Styela clava: one gene and its partner. The protein of the gene in region 1 purifies or fractionates together with the protein of each later gene. This does not show direct contact. Links are inferred from orthologs where the notes say so. Each region holds a gene or a part of one and is shown in the gene's direction. Other genes may lie near its edges. The genes, in order: U3 small nucleolar ribonucleoprotein MPP10-like and U3 small nucleolar ribonucleoprotein IMP3-like.

Region 1 (10,682 bases):
AATACATCATGAAAAAATTGACACCAGCAAGGTGCAGTCGAAAGTTGGAAGCAAGGACAATCTAACACACACACCTGGCGGAGGAAAGGTAAATCTCTTTGTTTGATAGGAAAAAGGCTTGCAAGATATATAGAGTTGGGTGCGGAAATTACCGGTATGTCAAAATCAATCTGTATTCTTCAGAAAATAATTTATTTTGCTAATCTTCACTGTTTTGTCAATGTGATGGTTTTCTCCCAATATGTATTTTTTTAAATTTTAGGTTAAAATTGTCAGCAAGACGCTCGATTTGACAAACGTTAAATCAAAATGTGGTTCGTTAGATAATGCGGATCATATTGCTGGTGGAGGAGATGTACAAATCTTTGATGAAAAACCTCTGTTCAAAGATACTGCAAAATCAAAGGTATACAACTTGTGTTGAATCACTTTATTGTTTTGAGTATTTGAGTGCAGGAGATGCTTGCAATGCAATTCTGAGCTGAATGAAAATTCATCTTAACCTATTCGAAGGTTGAACTAACCAAGTCCTAGTAAAAAGCGCTCGAAATTTGACATCTGTGGTGGGTATACGGATAGCGGCACAGTCGAAGAATGCCTGGATACATGATTAAGTTTGCTGGTGACAATGCTGTATTAAAATTCCATATGAATTCAACAAGTCTAACCAAGTGATGCATACATCTGGCTTTTTTTGGCAAATTTTAGCCATCTCCCTAATTCGTGCAGTTCTTCCCAATATTAGTTGTTTTCTTTCAAAGGTGGGATCATTGGAGAATGCTGATCATATAGCAGGTGGAGGTGATGTGAAGATATACGATGAAAAACTAAACTTCAATGAAACAGCTGCACCAAAAACTGCTACTGGTTTCAATGGCACAGGAAGCATTGGATGTAAGATATGTTTAAAAAGCGGCATTTTTCAAGTATATTCTTTAGAGTTGTTTTCAAAAAGTGGCAAATAACATGAATTCTTTTTTCAGCTTCTGGATCGATTTCGTCAACATAATCTTTGGGCGTTAAGAAGTATTTTTTACAAAACTGGAGGAGGTACAAGAAAGAGATGTACAATAGCATGAAACATGTTTTGATATGACAGATTTCAATTATTTGTTTGAAGTTTTTGCAATTTTATTATGGTACCAATTACTGATTTTTTAAGCTGTAAATGTGTTTTTGTTACTTTTGCTGGGAAAGAGACATGATAGATTTATAAAATTTGCTTGTTCTTTATGATATAAATCGGTGCTCAACTAATTTTGTTCTGTTCTCCCACTATCAGAACTCAGGTTCTGTAATTCATTTACTCGCATCAGCTGATTCTTGCATAACAACGTTTTGACATTTTTGCGGGAAGCTGACTGCCCAGCAACAATGATTCAAATAGAGAATTTTGTGGTTACTGAGAACAAATAATAAATCGTAAACCCTACTAGCTGAATATTTTAATATCAGAACTAGAATTGATGTGCTTAAGCCCAACATCTCAACTTTCATCAGATCCGTACACTTGCCTTCAATTTATGTCACAAAATCATATGAATATCTGTATACAACTAACACGCATGATACATAAACTTGTTTAATCATACTGCTGCTCAGGAATTGCACAAGTATTTCAACATTGTGGTGATTGTCTCTACTTCTTGTTATTTTAGTGTCGAAATTTATTTGTTTTCTTTTTGTTCCATATATGTCATATTAGGAATACTTGTAGTACATGTAATATGTGGGAAATTTTGGGTCCGTTAAGCTTGTGACACGAAGCATTGTTCAATGAATGCTTATATTGTATTCATAGACTTATTGGTAACTGTCCAAATGTGAAAAATACCGCATTCCCTAGCAAATGAGTCTATCCGTTTCAGTATATAACCATCCAATAAGGGAGGGCAAAAAAATTGTTTCTCAGTTGGTCAGTTCAGCACACTCACAGAATTGACATGTGATAAGTACTGCATTGTACGTTAATGGGTTAGTTAACAGCTGAGCTGTGCAGTCTGGTGTCATTTCATCCCTGAATGGGCAGAACAAATCACTTCATCTTGGCGTAGCCTTTTAATTTTTAAGTAAGTTTTAAAAAAAAAAAAAGAGATATATTACATGTGAGTACATAATCAATTCACAGTAGCTGTGATCGGCAGACCCTTCGGCTTGGAATATAAAACACAAATCATGCTTGACAGACCCTAGAAAAAATGAGCGTAGCTACTCAATAAGATGTCCCACTCTAAAATACGCTATCTCAAATTACGTCACATTCTTGTAGTGTGAATTTTTATTTCAACTTTCCATACATAAACTACGATATGATTGGCTTTTTATTTTTTTTAGTAAGATTCCCCCCCATATGGTGTTAATAAATCGTCAACAAATTTATGTAATATTGCTCATCTTCATTCCATGGTGAATTATTGCTGAAGAACATGAAATAGATTGCTTACTTTGCCATTTATATTCTCAAGGTGTCTAAATATTTTTGTAACCCAAATGTCAATCAGATGTAGGGAAAATTGCACATACACAAAAAATTGAATTACTGCTGCTGGTCATCATAAAAGACTTGTTTTATTAGTATTTTAGATCTTGTAATACTTTACTTTTTAATGTTTAAGGGTATCAGCATTGTTCGATTTGTAGATGACCTGCTATTGTTGCAAAATAAAATTTTATTTCAAAATATTTCATGTCTTAAGTCTTCTGGGATAAAACACAAAGTTGTAGATAGCAGTTTCTGTGATTTCGTCAATCCTTGAGATCTTGTGGTTAAAAATGAATGCCAAAAGCATTATACACCTTTTTGTCTTGACTTTGGGATAATCGGTCAAGGCTGAGATAACCAAATGGCTTTTCATTCTGTTATGGCGTCTTTCGCAAAGCCGTAACAAGCTTATCATCTCTCTTCCCAACGAATGTCATGGTTTTTTTCTGGTAATAATCGCTCATGAATTCAATATTTTCAATGACATCCGTCAGTAAATGAGCTCTGGTTACAGACGATCCTGAAAATGAATAACATTAGAAAGAAACAGAAGATGAATGTTGTTAGGTGTATATTGAGATTGTGTTTAGTTACCTGGAGCATCAAAGGCGATGTTTGTGAAATGTATATGGAGGTGGTAGTAAGATGGTTGATAATGGAAATATATTCTTAACTTGTGTTTCTTCACTCCATACTTTTCCTGTATTGCATCCTACGTAAAAGAAAAATCGTCCTTAAGTCTTGTTCTATTAATAAGCTTCAATTGATTTCCAAAACAAAATTGTCACCTCTCCACGTTGCTTTATGTTCTTCAGTAGTGGTAAATGATCTTTATTCAAATCACGAAGTGACTTTAAATCATGTCTGTGAACAAGAGCTGGGAAGAAAAAATATGTGATGCACCATATAAGAAGCTTCTGTTATTTGGGATGTTAATCCTTAAAATACCAGCATAAATAAGCCATATGTGATAACCATTAGAAAATCCCACTGTGGCATATGGCAGCCATCAGAAGCAATGAATATACAAATTATTCTCTAAAATTGGCTACACAAAATATTAAATTTCAAGGATTGTGAGGATCAAACAAAAACAAGGAAAATTTTGCATACCCATCAGATATAATGATTCTATGTCTTTCAGGTCCCATTTCATATCGGGGAGAAGAATGAATCCTATTTCAGGATCAGGATCTTCAAATACAATCCTTTCGGATTCGCTTTTCTTATCCAGAATGTTGAAAACCCACTGTGAAAAAAACATACCATAAATAGATGGGAATATTATGTAATATTATTATTTCTGAAATATAAAAACATACTTTTTTATATAAAAGTAAAAAGATCAGACTATTGCAATTGTTCTACATAGGTGATATATAAAAAGAAAAATTATTTTCCAACTGCTATTTACGATTTATGTACAACATACTTTTCTCATATAAGTTGCATGCAAAACTATACTTGTGCAAAGCAAACAATGCCTGTCATAAATAATTTGTTGTGCTTGCCATTAATTAAAGATTATGTTATATAAAGGTGTGGCCCACGGATTCTCCCAGTTATTTGAATGTGCCTCTCCTGTATTAAAGGTTGCACACACCTGCTCTATGGTATTGTCAATTCTGAATGAAACCTATAATTTTGTTTTCATATGCTTTTAATCATACTTGCACACTGAATCGATTTTCTTCTTTCAAATATGGCAGTGTGATTTGCTTGTAGTCATCGCCAGTTTCCTCTATTACTTCAACTTCTTGCTTTGTGTATTTTTCTATGTGCTTTGTGGTTGCTGGATATATCACAGTTGTCTAAAATTAACAGATGAGAATAATAATAATTGACAGAAGCAAAAAACAAAAAAATATCATTTTATGATTTCAATTATTATTAATAGTACATTACTTCAAAGCACTCAATTTCGAACATATAACTCGTTAAATACATTTCATATCCCAAACCATTCAAATTGTCAAGTTCATTCAAACTCCCTTTTGAAAGTTTACTTTTATTTGAATGCTCTATCCTTGCTCTCAACACCACCATTAAAAAAAGGTTGAAGTGGTCATCAGGCAAAGATGAAATCGCATTTTTAAAGTAGACTACCTTAATTTCTGTGTGCGGTGAAGTGGGTACTGCTGCATATGTACTGTAGATATCATTTAATAAATCTTGGCGGAGCTTTGTTTCTTCGGAAAATAGAGATTTCAAGCCCTTTGGTGATGTGTCAAAAGGCCTTTTTTCCAATATTACAACTAGAAAATAAGAAGATAAATTGCTCTTTTAAATAAATTGAAAAATGTTTAAAAGGTGATTGTTATAAGGTATTTTGGAGTGCCTTTTATTGCGTTACACATAAACCATAAAGTTAATTAAGCCATGAAATGTAAATGTTGAAAATAAAATTAACCTGCGTCTTTGTTGTCTTCTCCAACTTTTCCATGGAGAAATACAAGTTTCTTTTCCTTTACTTCATTTAGGACGACTGGATTTTTCAATCGATGGAAAGGATGTAGCTCCACATCAATCTTAGCTAATTTAGGCGATGGTTCATCTTCCTCTTCACCCATAATCAAACTTCGGCGAACCCAAACACCAACCTTTCAACCACAATATGCTTAAACGAGAAAACTAATTTTGGTACTTTCCAGGGTCATGACCCCTTGAAGCGTGCGCATGAAAGACATACCATACACCGAATCAACTGAGATAAATAACCTGAGAGTGTTGGCGTATTTGTGTGCCAATAGAGGATTTGTCCTGTGGCAAACGACGTTTGAATCTCACACAATGACCTTAGGCATGTTTGCATGTAGGGACCGGTACGATAAAATCCTTTAAAATACTTTGGGTGATGATCCGTCAGCTTTTCAAATAATATGATTTCCTTTCCTGGCGTATTGGTTATATCAGTATATAGACGTTCATATACGGTAGGCTAGTCTCCGTAACGTACGGCACCCTTCCGGTCTTGATGCCTCGCCCTGTTACCGGTACTGTGATGGGATATTGTTCCGTACAAATTCCGATTTACTTGAAATCTTGCTGTTACCATATCCAGTTATTTTTTGTGTGATCCTACTCCACTAATAAAATGGTCCTTACGTTTCGTATCCAATATGCCTCAGTAGGCTACAACAACCAGCTTTTGATCGCTGCTAGCAACGAGCTTCATTCATTTCTTGTTACGGTCCATGAACGCACAGTTGAACCCCACGAGGGCGCTGTCGCGTGTATTATTACTCTGGTGGTATTTTGTTTCTCTGTTAATTATGATTAATTAAATTTGTATAATTTTTTTTTGTCATTCCCTCTAAATCTCCAGCCCACAGGTGTCGTTGACTCGATGACTGTCACAGTCTTTCGCGACTCCTTATCTATTGCTATGAATCTCTCACTTGTATGAATTCTGATGTGTATATTTAATTTTTTACGATTGTCATTATACACGTTTGTCAATTTTTCGTGCTTTAAATTTTGTGTTAATTCTTGCATGATAGAAATAAAATATCTGAATCTGAATCTGAATCTGAATCTGTTCGAGAAGGCATATTAATGTTATCAATAGCTACAATATATAGATATATGGTATAATCTAGTATTCAAAAAAGTTGAGTTAAATGGTGTACAAGTCCGGATTTCATAAATCAGTTTTTATTTATTTGTTTTTATCAATCACTTTATGGCCTGTTATGCTGATTATGGAGTCGAAATAAACTTACGTATATACTGATATACAAGTGTATGTTGATATCACAAAGCTTTTCGTGAATATTTTAACAATACTTCTGGATCGTAAGCCAATATATTAGCAATACTTGCATAGACCTATATTGCAGAAATTTAGCCTCACACTAGAATGATAATGCTCCAATACTTCATTCCACGTTACTGTGAAATTTCCGTATAGCATATAGACTAATACTGTAATATGTTCTACTTAATATATTTTGCATAACTTTTCAGTTTTATTAGATGAGTTGTAGAGTTTAGGAAATTAAATACAGCATTAGTTGAAGTTCAAACTCAATCATGGATGAACACTTTTTCACAAAATTGAAATCAAACTTTGAGCAATTCGTATCCTCACCTTTGCCATTTTTGGAAGGATGTACAGAAGTGTCAGACAATTTTAAATTATTATCAAAGACGATTTATGATTCTAATAAATCATCAGCAATTTCATCACGATCAGGTCCAATACCAAAACTTATCATTGAAGGTTTTGATCATGAGCAGATTTGGCAAGAAATTGAACTTTTCAATAAGAAGGAAGCTGCAACTTGTCTTAAAGCAGCCGAATATTTTAATTCTCAGGACATTTCCCAGTTCATGTTAAAGAAACATGAAAGTGATGATGAAACGGGTGATGAAGATGATGATTTGTCAGAATTAGAACCTGTTGAAGGAGAAGCGGAACCAGAAGGTGATTGGTTCATTATTTTTATTCGTTTTACACTTTTTACTTTGTAGCCTATATATATATAATACAATACTGATTCATCAGGTAATTTATATTTTTAATATCAATGATTACAATACTATTTACTATACATGACTAGTGGAGGTATGATTTTATTATATTCTGTTGTCCAGCACAAAATATTCTCCATAATTCTAATTTGTACAGCTGGAAGATATTGAAATATGCATTTGTTTGAGAGGGGTTCGATGTATATTTTCTATAATATAAGTCCCAAGCAAAGACCAAACTTAAAATTGAGAGATCATGATTATAAAGGTTGCCAGAGACCACTGCAAACAGTTATAGTGCTAGGCTCACCTTTGGTTTTCATCTCAATGTTGTTCAAATTCTTATTTGTAACTGTATTAAAAGTCAAACTGATATCAAGAAAATTTAACAATCAAAATTGAATATATTTAGCGGAAAGCGACGTGGAAGGATTCCATTTTGAAGAAAGTGAAGGAGATGACGAAGAAACTGAAGAAGAAGAAGAAGACTTCAATCAACATGATGTAGTAACGGAGCAGACTGAAGTGGACGATGATTTTTTCAGTCTGCGTAAAATGGAAAAATTCTTAGAAGACGAAGATCGAAAATATGAATTAGAACAAAAGAAGCCGGTAGAGGGCGACATAGACTATTTTGAAGATATTCCATCTGATGGCATTTCCTCATCTGAAGATGAGAATGAAGAATATTCAAGCAAGATTAAATCATCAAGAAACTTGAAATATTCTGATTATTTTGATGAACCTATTAGTTCAATAAAAAATAGAAATGAAAATATTTCTGAGACTGAAATTGATGATAGAAACAATGCACAAGATCAAAAACAATCTCATTTTGAAAAGCATCAGAAACAAATATCACAGAAAATTGGAATACTAGAGGAAAGAGCATTGGCACCTGCAGAGTGGCAAATGACTGGTAAACTGTTTTATTCATTCTATAATAAAGAATATTCTGTCCACTTTGGTATGCAAATCTCACTTGCTTAACGCACAGCACTAATCATGGTGCCTTTTTGGTCAGTCTCATAAAGAAATTCTCATAGAATTCAGTTTCTAACTTCAACTAAAATCACTGAGATCATATACCAAATTAGCACCGAGTATTCCTTAATAAGAACCCATTTGGAATGTGAAGTACTGGGAGTTTGTTTTAGCTAACCCTGGCCTCCATTTTAGTGGTCAGCTATTTTTAGGTGAATGCGTTATGTGCATTTTTCTAAGCTTGTATCGTAAAGAGAGCTCTAGCTGACTTTTTCTTACCAACTGTTACTTGATTATCTGTGATTATGACATCTTAAGTTAGATTGGTGAAATATTCATTTCAGTTACATAATTTATTGATCTTATTATTTTGCGATACAGGGGAAGTCAAAGCTGCATCAAGACCAGAAAATAGTTTACTGCAAGAAATGGTTCAATTCGATCATGTTGCTCGACCTCCTATTGATATAACAGAAGAACACACTAAAGATCTTGAAAGTTTGATCAAACAACGAATCATGGATTGTGCTTGGGATGACATTGAGAGAAAATATAAACCTGATGGTAACTACTAATAAAAAAAAATACTCTACTTTCGAAAAAATTCAATTTGTTTCCAACTTGTTTTAGATGTTCTCTATTGTATTTACCTAGGTATCTGTATTGTATTATGGCCATAATTAAATTATCCAAAGCATACAATTACCATTTCAAGATCATGAAATGGCATATCCAAATGCTTAGATGTATTATTATTTATATAAACAATTTGAATAATCAAGAACCTATTATAAATGGTGTAAAATTGTTTTAAGTATCCATATTATAGTTCTTGAGAGCTCTACCGATATATCGGCCAACCGATATATCGGGCCGATATTGCGTGTTTGCCGATATATATCAGCGTTAGTCGCTTTTCCACGTTCTAAAAAATGAGTCCCCCGGGAAATATCTGCGGCCGAGCTTTTTCTTTTTTTCGCTTCTCTCATTTTGCCTCTCAATGAACAGAGAGTTCTCTCTTTTATCTCTTCGTGCGGCGCAAAATCCTCGCCTTCGAATATCTTGCGTCCCCACTAGACTTGCACGTAATCGACAAAAATCAATTCCGTAATTACGGAAAAAAATCGATTACGTAATGACCCCGTAATTGCGATATTTTTTCACGCATTTAAACCTATCATAACAACCAATTGAATCCACTTCTTTTCCAAATGGGACATCGAAGTTTGGTTTTCATATCACCGACAGTACTACACGCCGGCGACAGATGTTAAAGACAAATACCAAGGAGTGAATTCAAATTAAATTTATTCTGATTTTTATCTTTTGATTTGATTTTCCTTTATCACTTTCGCAAATTAACCGTCCCAATTTTATGCGATCAATTTTATCATTACCAACACTGGTATACGGATATTTATGAAACAATAGTTGCCTTTTTTAAAATCGACTTTCGTATTGAATAAAAATTTCGGGTTTCCAAGTTATTAATCAACGACGAGCGTATTCTTTCGTTTGATTATACCTGCGCTTGCCTCGCAACGAAGACCTGTTATTGATCTGTTTTTTACATTATCCGACTTTGCTACCTAGTTAGCATTTTGCAAAAATTATTGATGCTGAATTATTGACGATATTCCGATTACCAAGCTTCATTTTATATCAAATCCTTTCGCGGCCTAAATGTTATAACATTTGCGATAAATTTAGATCACATAATAATTATTTAGCCGGCGGTAAATTCTTACTCGTAACTCGTTGTAAATTAATGATAATAAATTCTATTTTGTTTTTTAATGTGCTGTAATTTGTATTAATAAAAGTGATTGAGTCGGGAAAAGAAAGTAGCCTTCTCTCCCTTTGCTCCATAGCGGCGGTAAAATTCGTTTAATTTCTGTTTCACGGAGAGATAAATACACCTTCCGGAATTACAATCAACTATCACACATTCCTATTTATCGTTATCAGCGCGGAATAAAAAAGATACCAAATCGTGAAGACAAAAAAGTCTGTCGGTGTTAATTGCGTTACGGTGATAACGCTCATAATAATATCGTTTTGATCGTGAAACCAAACACTCAAACGGGGTGGCGACTTTACGTAATTTGTAACTTCCTTGCCGTAACTCGAAAGAATTACGTAATTCCCTAAATTACGTGCAAGCCTAGTCCCCACCTACTACTGTATGGATCAAAATGGACTTCTATAAGCTTTTTACTGATTGCCCTTTTTCTCTTGTGCTTGGTTTTTTCAAACTTTGCCTTCTGTTTTGTGCATTAATGTGTGTTCTTATTAATTGCTGTGAAACTTTTATCAATGATGCAAGCACTTTGTAGGACTGCTTTATTTTTCAACATAAACTTTTGATTGACTGAAACTGAATTTTTTTTTGTTCTATTTGTATTTACTGCGGGTTCAGGTTGTAGATATCGGTATGTCGATATCGGTTATCGGTCACTAGTTGGCCGATATATCGTTATCGGTATCGGTGCCAAAAAGTGATATCGGTCGAGCTCTAGTTCTTGGTATGTAATTCCAACGCATCTTGGCTCTTAGCGATGCATTCGGTAAGCATCCATCTATATGCAGTGAGGCACTTTAATTTTCGAAAGCTCGAAATGCTAATTAGTTCTACATTCCAAATTTGTGTCACTATAGTGAAGTGGGAAAGTTACTATAGTAAAAAATCTATCCTCTATTTATATTGACAGCTGAACCTGCTGAATACAAGAAAAGAATTGTG
Region 2 (8,894 bases), on another chromosome or scaffold:
TTAAGTGTATAATGCGAGTCTCAATTTATTTAGCATATCAGTACCAGTATTTAGGGATCACATACTTCAAACAGTTCGAGGCAAAAAAAAGTACTCTAGAATAGTAAGTTATTCTACATTGCCCATCCATGGGTGTAAAACTGTAGGACATTAGGTAAAGTACAGCCATTTCCGGTATGCGACAATTTTATTGCGACTTTTCTGTATTTAATCAATTCAATTCACCATTATAGTAAATATCGATATATTTTTTAATGACCAATATTCATAGGACATCAGCGATTGAACAACTTCAACTAAAGGTGAGTTCATAAACGAACCGTTAGAAACTCCACCCATTCTTATCCAACCATTAAATGGATTTTTGCGAATAATCCAGTGTGATTCTTTTCATCAGGTTCTCTCCCGCTATGTTCTTCTTTCTCGTTGCCGCATTGCCCTGTCTGTGGTTATTGGAACTTCGACTTATGGAACAACGCTACGACAAATTTAACGGTGTCTATCAATCGTCACATTATTTGCTTTCAAAGCAGAACACACTGTTCGGGGTAACATTTCCACTACTCTGCAACTACTCTCGAGTTACCAAAACTCATGTAAATTTAACGCACTAATGGTTTATTTTTAGATTAAATTGCCAACATTACTCGACGAATTTGGGTGGGCTTTGGCATTGGAGCAGTCACTGTTATTCATTCTCATCTGCTGCCGAGGTATACTGCCACGAGGAAAAATTTCTAGAGATGAGTTATCTCAAATTTTACTGGTGCACATGGGCATAGCAGCTGATATTTTGGACCTATTTTCGATTTTCAATGAAGAAGAGGTAAATGTTTAACTACAACTATATGTCAGAGATATTTCAAAAATTTGAACGACTTTTCTTTCAGTTACTTCAACGACCGACTATTATATACCCAACGTTATCTTTATGGACGTTGAGCTTACTACAATACAGCCTCGTTATTACCTCAAGTCGATCCCGAAGAAATAGAATGGCTGGGATCAGTATCAGAAGGGGAGAAAGCAGCAGATCTCGGACCTGTGCAGAACCCCGTGGTGGAAGACGGTAAGACAATTACAAAACCATACGTGTATACATTTTTCGGAATCAATTGCTTGTTTAGTAGAGAGAAAATAGGACGACTCAGAAGATATGGTAGTTGTAGCCGAGTTGCGTCTAGTCATTGGTTCGGTTTCGTTGAGATGATATAATATGGGAGTACGTAATACCCACCAAATATATATGTTACTATTGACCACTTTTTCTGTTATTCAAAAATAATATTATCTTATATCTGCCAGTAAAACGATTTTCAGCTTACAAATTCAATATGTTCGATGTTATTATTTCAAATTCCTTCCAAATTTTTATTACATAAAAATGGAAGATTTCTTGTACTGTATATTCTTTGGAGGGGTGGTGGGTCTTTTTTTCATCTTGATTATTTATCTTTCGTTGTGTGATGTTTCTCCTTCTCCTCTTCCAAGAGTAAACTTCTTACAACCAGCAACATTTGACCTCATGGAAATAGTATCAACGTACATATATAATAACAATATTTCTTCTAACGATACTCCGTTGATTGATTAAGCAAGATGAGCTTTAGATTATAACTATGACACTCCATTAACGACCAAAAAAATACTAGTTTTTAAGGTGGATGAAACTCTCGAAATGTTAAATCTTTAATTCCGAAACTAATGAATGCTATACATTTGTGAAGTTTGAAAATTTGTGGCTTCATAACGGGAAATTGCTTGGGCAAATAACTCTTGAACGGGTAAAATGGCAATGGTGGTCTTCATTTTTCTTTTGCAGGCGCGTTCGGAAATTGGGGTTTTGGTCTAGCGATTTCTGGTCAAACAAAGACGTTGTCGGGGTGCTGTCATCAACCGCAATGCAGGATCTACCTTTTTTTATATTTCGCCTCTTTCTGTTGTCGGGTAAAATTTTGCTTACTTACGAACACTTAAATATTACTTTGCCTCGGTTTATTTTCCCGTGGTAGTAATTTATTGATTATATTCAATATACTATAGTTTACAATTGAAATAAAATATGATTACGTACGATGGTACGGACCGACCACTCACCTTAGCAGGGTGGTTACGTGGTGAAACTGAAACAATAAATTAGTAAAATGAGTATTCCCATATCCGACCAGCATTGGAACGTGGTTCATACTCTATCGAGAAATTAATACAAACGATCTTATTCTTTCTAATTGTAATATAATATTTTTCCAAATACTTCAACCTATTTATTTTTGCACAAAGTTAACGGAGTGAAATGATTATTTGATTGCATAATCATTAAATACCTTGCTATTATTACTATCAGACCTAATATTTGTAATCTGCATCACCAATATTCGTGTCTTAATTTACAGTTATGGGAATCTTGAGCCACACAATGGCATTCTTTACTTGCAAGAATGCCTTGGTTGTTGTTCTTCAAATCCACCGCCTTCGTATTATATATTCGGAGATTAAATACGATGGTATAGAAATAGCAAGAGCACACTTGGAAAGAGATGGAATCAGTGTTGTTGAATTAAATCGTGCTGATATTGTGGAACGGCTAAACAGTAGGAAACCAACCCATGAGATGGTGGCTACTTCAGATTCCCTTGAATTGCCAGGTTTACCTTCAAACGAGCATGAACTGCATTGTGATAATGATACATACTCCACTGACGGAAAACCATCGTGAAATATTTCCTGGCGCAGGCAGTGAACTATTATTTGTAGGCCTACAAACTTCTTATTGTGCATAAATCTAAGATTAGACGATATCAAACTGTGGACGTTTTCCGTACCATTGTTAGTCATTTTTAAACTCACGGTAACATAAAGTCGCATTTAATAATATCATCAGTGTTTCCTATAATATTTTACTTTATTTTCTAAGTGCATCCAAATTTATTGGATTTGTAATGTAACTTAACATTGAGATATAAATTTTATAGATCAGAATGAAATTTTATTTCATTATTTTTTGGTAGTTAAAAACCAACAAGAATATAGTTCGGTTCCCAATGCCCATTACGCTAATTAAAACTTTGTTTTGGTAAGGTGCATAATTATAACTTTTGTTGGAATATTGTATATATGACCAAAAAGGAATGAATGCTACCCTAGTGATACTCATATATATATATATATATATATATAAAGTAGGCTACCAGGCTACCCCATCTATGTAAATTTAAACTTTCCCACCGCTGTGTTGTTTTATTCTTGTCGTTAACATGTGCATTTTCTGTGGGACAAATCTATCGATTCATATATTTGCTTGCGATCGTGGGCAACCGTATAGCTGGCGTAATAATAATTGGGTCAAGGAATTCCCTGTCGGGGTGGTACTAATTAATCATTCCTAATACATTAAGCCTTATCGCGTGTTAGCAAGCAACGTGGAATCTCAGATAAAATATTATAATGTTTTCTGAAATTAACCTTGTGGATGTTTTTCCGACCCCCCCGGATGTTTTCTCACATAGTTTACCAGTGTGGTGAAAAAGTTCGATGCTTATTTTGAGATTGAATTAGCGAGTTAAAGCATGTAAACGGGTATACATATTCATAAGCACAATTTTGTTTCAAAATATTTAATTGGGCATTATTTTTTTTCAAAATATATTGTATTGATTAAAAAATGTTGAGTTTTGCAATGTTCAGCTCTAACAACTATAACTAATCGATGACCTTCTGTTACTAATATATTTTCGCTACATTCATTTACATTTTCTTGACCTCCTGAAGTAGGCTATGCGCACCAAGATGGCGCACATCCTGGACTTAGGTTGTGTACCAGGTTAGGGTTCAGGTTATGCGACATCTTGGTGCGCATACTTCCGGATTACCCATTTTCTGCTATATCTGCAATTATTGATATCCAACCTACCGGTATGTACACTCTTGACAAGTCAGTCATTTTCTTGATCAATGACTATTTATATGATGTGCGCCTGCTTAGGGGCCGATCAGTTTTATGTGAATTTATTTCCTTTTCATTCCGGTACCTGCTACACTACACTGCTTTTATGCATAAATATATTTTAAGATAATCTACATCTGTACAAGCTGATAGACTACCGCTACCGTAACGTTGTCATGTACCAGTAGCACAATGCACAGTGTCAGCTAAACTCTTGAATTGAAGTACTTGAACCTGGTTTTCTTCGTCACTGTGCATAGCTAGTCGCTACTACTTCACATTGTAACCATGTGGGCGGCTACCGTGTTTCCCCAAAAATAAGACAGGGTCTTATTTCAAATTTCTTTCGAAGGGCTTATTTTGGGGGGATGTCTTTTAATTTATCAAAAACAAAATTACAAAATACAGAATTGCGAGATTTTCAAATTTCAAATATACAAAATATGAAAATAGATATCCATTTACTTATAAATAAGACTTATATTAGGATAGGATTTACATATTTATCCCAGGGGAGAGGAAAGCCGGTAATTGTTACGTCGCCTCTATGTTGTTTCTGACTTGACTGCGACACATTCTGTGCCCTTGGCCACAAGTTTTGTGACTACCAATGATTTATCCATGGGTAACTTTTAGACTTTCTGAGAATTGTTTTTCTTAGTCCAGTATTGTTTAATATATTCGAGTGCCTCATAAATTTTTATAGTCTTTTTATGCGGGTTAGTAGATCAGCATTTCTTTATTTGACACTGGAAAAGTAAAAACTTGCTTATGCGTAAAGGGGTTTGCCCATCGCGGAGGGTTTGCCCATCTGCGTCGGTAAGCGAGTTATCCGTCTGCAACGCCAAACTAAAAGTCCTGGTTGAGAGCTTTAGTCATGTTTTCCTCAAGATTTTGTTTCTGGAGCTACAAAATGACCGAAAATGCGTTGCTAATGATGCAAATATGTGAATCATTACCGCACACCAAATGATGTTGGCAGGTTTGGAAATATACTGACGTGAAACCCATTCTAAATAATCTGTATCCTGCATACAACGTCATTAGTTCTCAAAGTCCAGCTCTCCCACGAACGTGCGGACATTTTGCTTGTTACTTATCGATTTTAATCGGTAAGTATGTTGATAGGTATTTGTCTGTTTGTCTGTCTGTCTGTCTGTCTGTTTGTCTGTCTGTTAGATGTAGGCTAGGCGATATCTCACGAAAACGAGATTGGATCTGCAGCAAATTTTGCATGTGCATTCATCATATCTCGTACCTGAGGCCTATTGATTTTGGGCGAATTGTGTCGTATAATTAGCGAGTTATCATTTAATTAGTAATGGGACACAAGGTGTCACTATGGAGTAAGAGCGCTGTTTTGAATCCCCTAACTTTCGATCGATAAGTCTTCGGTCTCTGACCAACATTCTCGTTTTCCTTGTTATTCTGTCTCTCCCGTTCGACAAGATGTTCCTTTTGCGTGTGCGTTATTGTACATTCGTATGAAGATAAATAAATCAAAATCTGCGGTAGTCATTTCATATCCATGCCAAGGTCAACGATGCGTTAGTATTTATGTACGTTTGCTCTGGTTATATAGCGCATACATCCAGACCGATCCAGACCAACGATTAACATATCAGATTAGACAAATGGACAAGCCCACCATCTGTTCCGCATGATTTCACATTTGATGAACATGCACTGAACTGGAAATATCTATATCTCTGTGTGAACATGTCAGAGCTCGTGATTTCCGTCGCCAGATTGTGGAATCAGCGTTTCGTTCTGTGGTGAAGTGTACGGTGGATTCTGTTTGTCATTATTTGATCGCTTCGCGTAGTATTTGTCGACCATGAGGCAGTTGAAGTATCACGAAAAGAAGTTGTTGAAAAAAGTAGATTTTTTCGCTTGGGAAGCGGATAACAATCTTCATGAAATAAAGATTTTAAGGAAATATAGGATACAAAAACGAGAAGATTACACGTCATATAACAAATTGAGTCGGCATGTGCGATCGATAGCGCGCAAACTAAGAGATCTCGAAACCGATGATCCTTTTAGAGAAAGATGTACTGCAAAATTATTAGATAAACTTTATAGAATGGGATTAATTCCTACGAAAGAGTCACTGGCATTGGTGGACAAAATAACGGCGTCTACATTTTGCAGGCGACGTTTACCTGTCATGCTCGTTAAGTTGCGCATGTCGCAGAATTTGAAAATGGCCACGGAATTGATTGAGCAAGGACATATCAGAATTGGAACAGATGTTGTAACAGATCCTGCATATTTCGTCACTAGAACTATGGAAGATTTTATAACATGGAAATCGACGTCTAAAATACGAAAGCACATTATGGAATTTAATGACGAAAGGGATGACTATGATTTTGCATAATATGACTGAAATGTGTTAGAACCTTCAATACTCTCTTGTGTTGGTGCATCAACTCTAACACAGAACGGGGGTGCAAGATTTTCTGTGATGATTTTTCATTTACAAAGCTTTTTTTGCAGCATTGGAAGCATTTATATTGATTATAACAATAATTTATTTATCAATGTAATGTTTCAATTATTTGCAAAATTTCTAGATATATTAATGCCATTGTCAAGCATTACTTTTTGGAGACTGAATATTGTTTGCCACAAACATATGTAAAAACATTGTACACAAAAACTCAACGATTAAATTATTGTAGAATGCGTTATCAAAATGTAGTTTTTTTGTTTTACACTAAAATAGTAGCTGAAAGTAATATTGCAAAATCATATTTTGAGTTTTTGTAATAATAGAATAAAATAGGTATTTTGGGATTTGAACGCCATTTTTAACTACAAATATGCTCGAAAGAAGTGCTCTACTCTGTTGTATTACAGATCCTTCAGCCGCTATTTTTATTGTGGGGTTCTTCAAATTCAAGTACTGACTCGTGTTAATAATGGTCTGAATCGATATGCGTTAATTGATTTAGAAAATTACTTTAAACTTTTGATCAATATTTGTTTAGTGTATTTATCACTATATTCTTCACATATGAAACATTACGAGATGGATGCTTTGTCAAACCTCAAATTGTTGAAGGTACTTTTTCTGCTTAGTTTTGGATATACTCTTATTGTTGCTGAATGCACGTTAAGTGCCCAAAAAGATTCAATATCCTCACGACACATCTCTAGTTTGGATCCACTCAAAGACAAAATGTAAGTTATGCCTAAAATAAAGATTTTGCTTTAAAGATTTCATGAAATAAAGACTTTCCAAATACCTCTTAGTCCAAGGTTGCGAGGTTGAAGGGCCGCAATCGGAGAAAACCCAAAAGTGATCAAAACATTGCGAGTTTACTCACTTTAAATATATGCATGAGAGTTTATTGTCCTAATCAGTTTTTCATGGAAACAATATGAAACCTTTAGTTATTTTAAAATTGCTTCAATCAATCAAATCGTTTTTATCCGCCTTTTCGGAAAAGCACAATAGAATGAAAGCAAGAAATATCACGGAATATTTGTATATATTCATGCCTTTGCACCGAATGGACAGGATAGGGCACCTTGAAATGGCTTAAAACTTATGGATGCGAAACATTTTTATGGAGAACAGCATCGCTCCAAGATTTTTCTGAGAAATATCAGGGTAGTTTTGGTATCTATCCCGTGTTTCGTTTTGTGAAGTCGCTTAAAATCATATTCTTTCGTGACAGATATTATTTGAAAACACACCAGACACTGTAGTTTAACATTGTTGTGGATACCAAATACGTTTCCTCCCAGTTTACCTCAGTCACCTTTTTTTCTACACTCATTGTATGATGAATTGTTATATTTGAAAAAATTTAATACTAGCAGGCCTAAGTTCGGACCTCGAACCCAGTGATAAAAAAAAGTGGATCGCTCTGTCAGCTCTGCGGTTTGTCACTGCTGTCAGATGGCCAACGCTTGAAAATAGTGGAGTGTTTTGACTAAAATAAAGGCACGAAATCATCGGCTTGGTCCTGTGTGCACAAGACAATTCATTCCCTATTCACAGATCACAGAATGTCATCCCCATATGGGCATAATCTTGACGTTTATAGATACAACAATGAAATTCTGTGATATTAACAAACATCAATCCCGATATCGGGATTAGAAAAATAACTATTCCCAGTTGGAATAGTTTGAAAATAAATCAAAATTGTTCTGCTGAAGATACAAATATCTGCCAATGGTTTAATAGTGTACGCTAAAATTGTTCTTCGGCCAGAGGGCCGCAGTTTGGACGACTCTGTGTTAGATCAATCGCTCTTTTGGCCTTTGCGAAGGAGTATGCTTAATAATTTTCTGATTTTCTCCCATTAGTAATTTCCAAATTCACTTTTTGAAGTGCCTCCATTGTCTAAGTGAGAATGTCTAAATTATATAGTAGGTGTGGCATAAATACATTGGGGATGTGTACATTTAATAAACGTTCAATCACCTTGGATTTCTCTATATTTTCAGATTCACCTATAACTTCAAGGATGAAAAGGATCGCGAAGTGTATAAATACACTCTGTCAATTTGTTCTGAAATCAAACCCGGAACAAATATTGCAGTGACACAAGAAGACTTAGTCGACCATAAAACTAAAACCATAGGAAAAATTGACCAAGCTTCAATAAAAAGGGGGAGTAATTGGATAATGCTGACTTTGAAAGGAGGGGATCCCTACCATACACACTGTGGCCATAGTCCACGACAGGCACATGTCATGATTATGTGTGATAAATATCATTTAGCAGTGAGTTCAACTTGTATGTTATTTAGGGTGACCATACGTCCTCCTTTTGGAGGATTTGTCCTACTTTTTTGTTTAAAAATTTATGTCCTCCGAGGACGCTCTGAAACATCAAAATGTCTTCCTTTTTCAAGGGATTAAATATTTAAAATTCTGTTATGATATATATTCTACCGTTTTCGATGTGTTAAGAAAATTTTAAACCAA

What was found.
Region 2: the proteins of U3 small nucleolar ribonucleoprotein MPP10-like (region 1) and U3 small nucleolar ribonucleoprotein IMP3-like purify together in Homo sapiens (affinity purification with mass spectrometry; 4 studies listed by BioGRID and IntAct, with this or other methods). This does not show direct contact. The link is inferred for Styela clava from reciprocal best matches to the Homo sapiens genes MPHOSPH10 and IMP3.

The regions. Positions count from the first base shown.
Region 1 is NC_135252.1:8,335,006-8,345,687, reverse strand, and holds the start of U3 small nucleolar ribonucleoprotein MPP10-like, read left to right. Parts: upstream 1-6,435; 5' UTR 6,436-6,514; coding exon 6,515-6,908; intron 6,909-7,367; coding exon 7,368-7,874; intron 7,875-8,320; coding exon 8,321-8,503; intron 8,504-10,650; coding exon 10,651-10,682. Other genes in the region: uncharacterized protein LOC120342339, read left to right, coding at 1-88, 263-406, 762-894, 984-1,009; m7GpppX diphosphatase-like, read right to left, coding at 2,860-3,002, 3,077-3,194, 3,271-3,359, 3,596-3,731, 4,153-4,293, 4,589-4,737, 4,893-5,052. UniProt on the Homo sapiens protein: Component of the 60-80S U3 small nucleolar ribonucleoprotein (U3 snoRNP). Required for the early cleavages during pre-18S ribosomal RNA processing. Part of the small subunit (SSU) processome, first precursor of the small eukaryotic ribosomal subunit.
Region 2 is NC_135256.1:9,270,892-9,279,785, forward strand, and holds U3 small nucleolar ribonucleoprotein IMP3-like, read left to right. Parts: upstream 1-5,673; 5' UTR 5,674-5,780; coding exon 5,781-6,326; 3' UTR 6,327-6,939; downstream 6,940-8,894. Other genes in the region: transmembrane protein 26-like, read left to right, coding at 398-548, 629-826, 891-1,069, 1,823-1,947, 2,394-2,716; cation-dependent mannose-6-phosphate receptor-like, read left to right, coding at 6,966-7,132, 8,411-8,690. UniProt on the Homo sapiens protein: Component of the 60-80S U3 small nucleolar ribonucleoprotein (U3 snoRNP). Required for the early cleavages during pre-18S ribosomal RNA processing. Part of the small subunit (SSU) processome, first precursor of the small eukaryotic ribosomal subunit.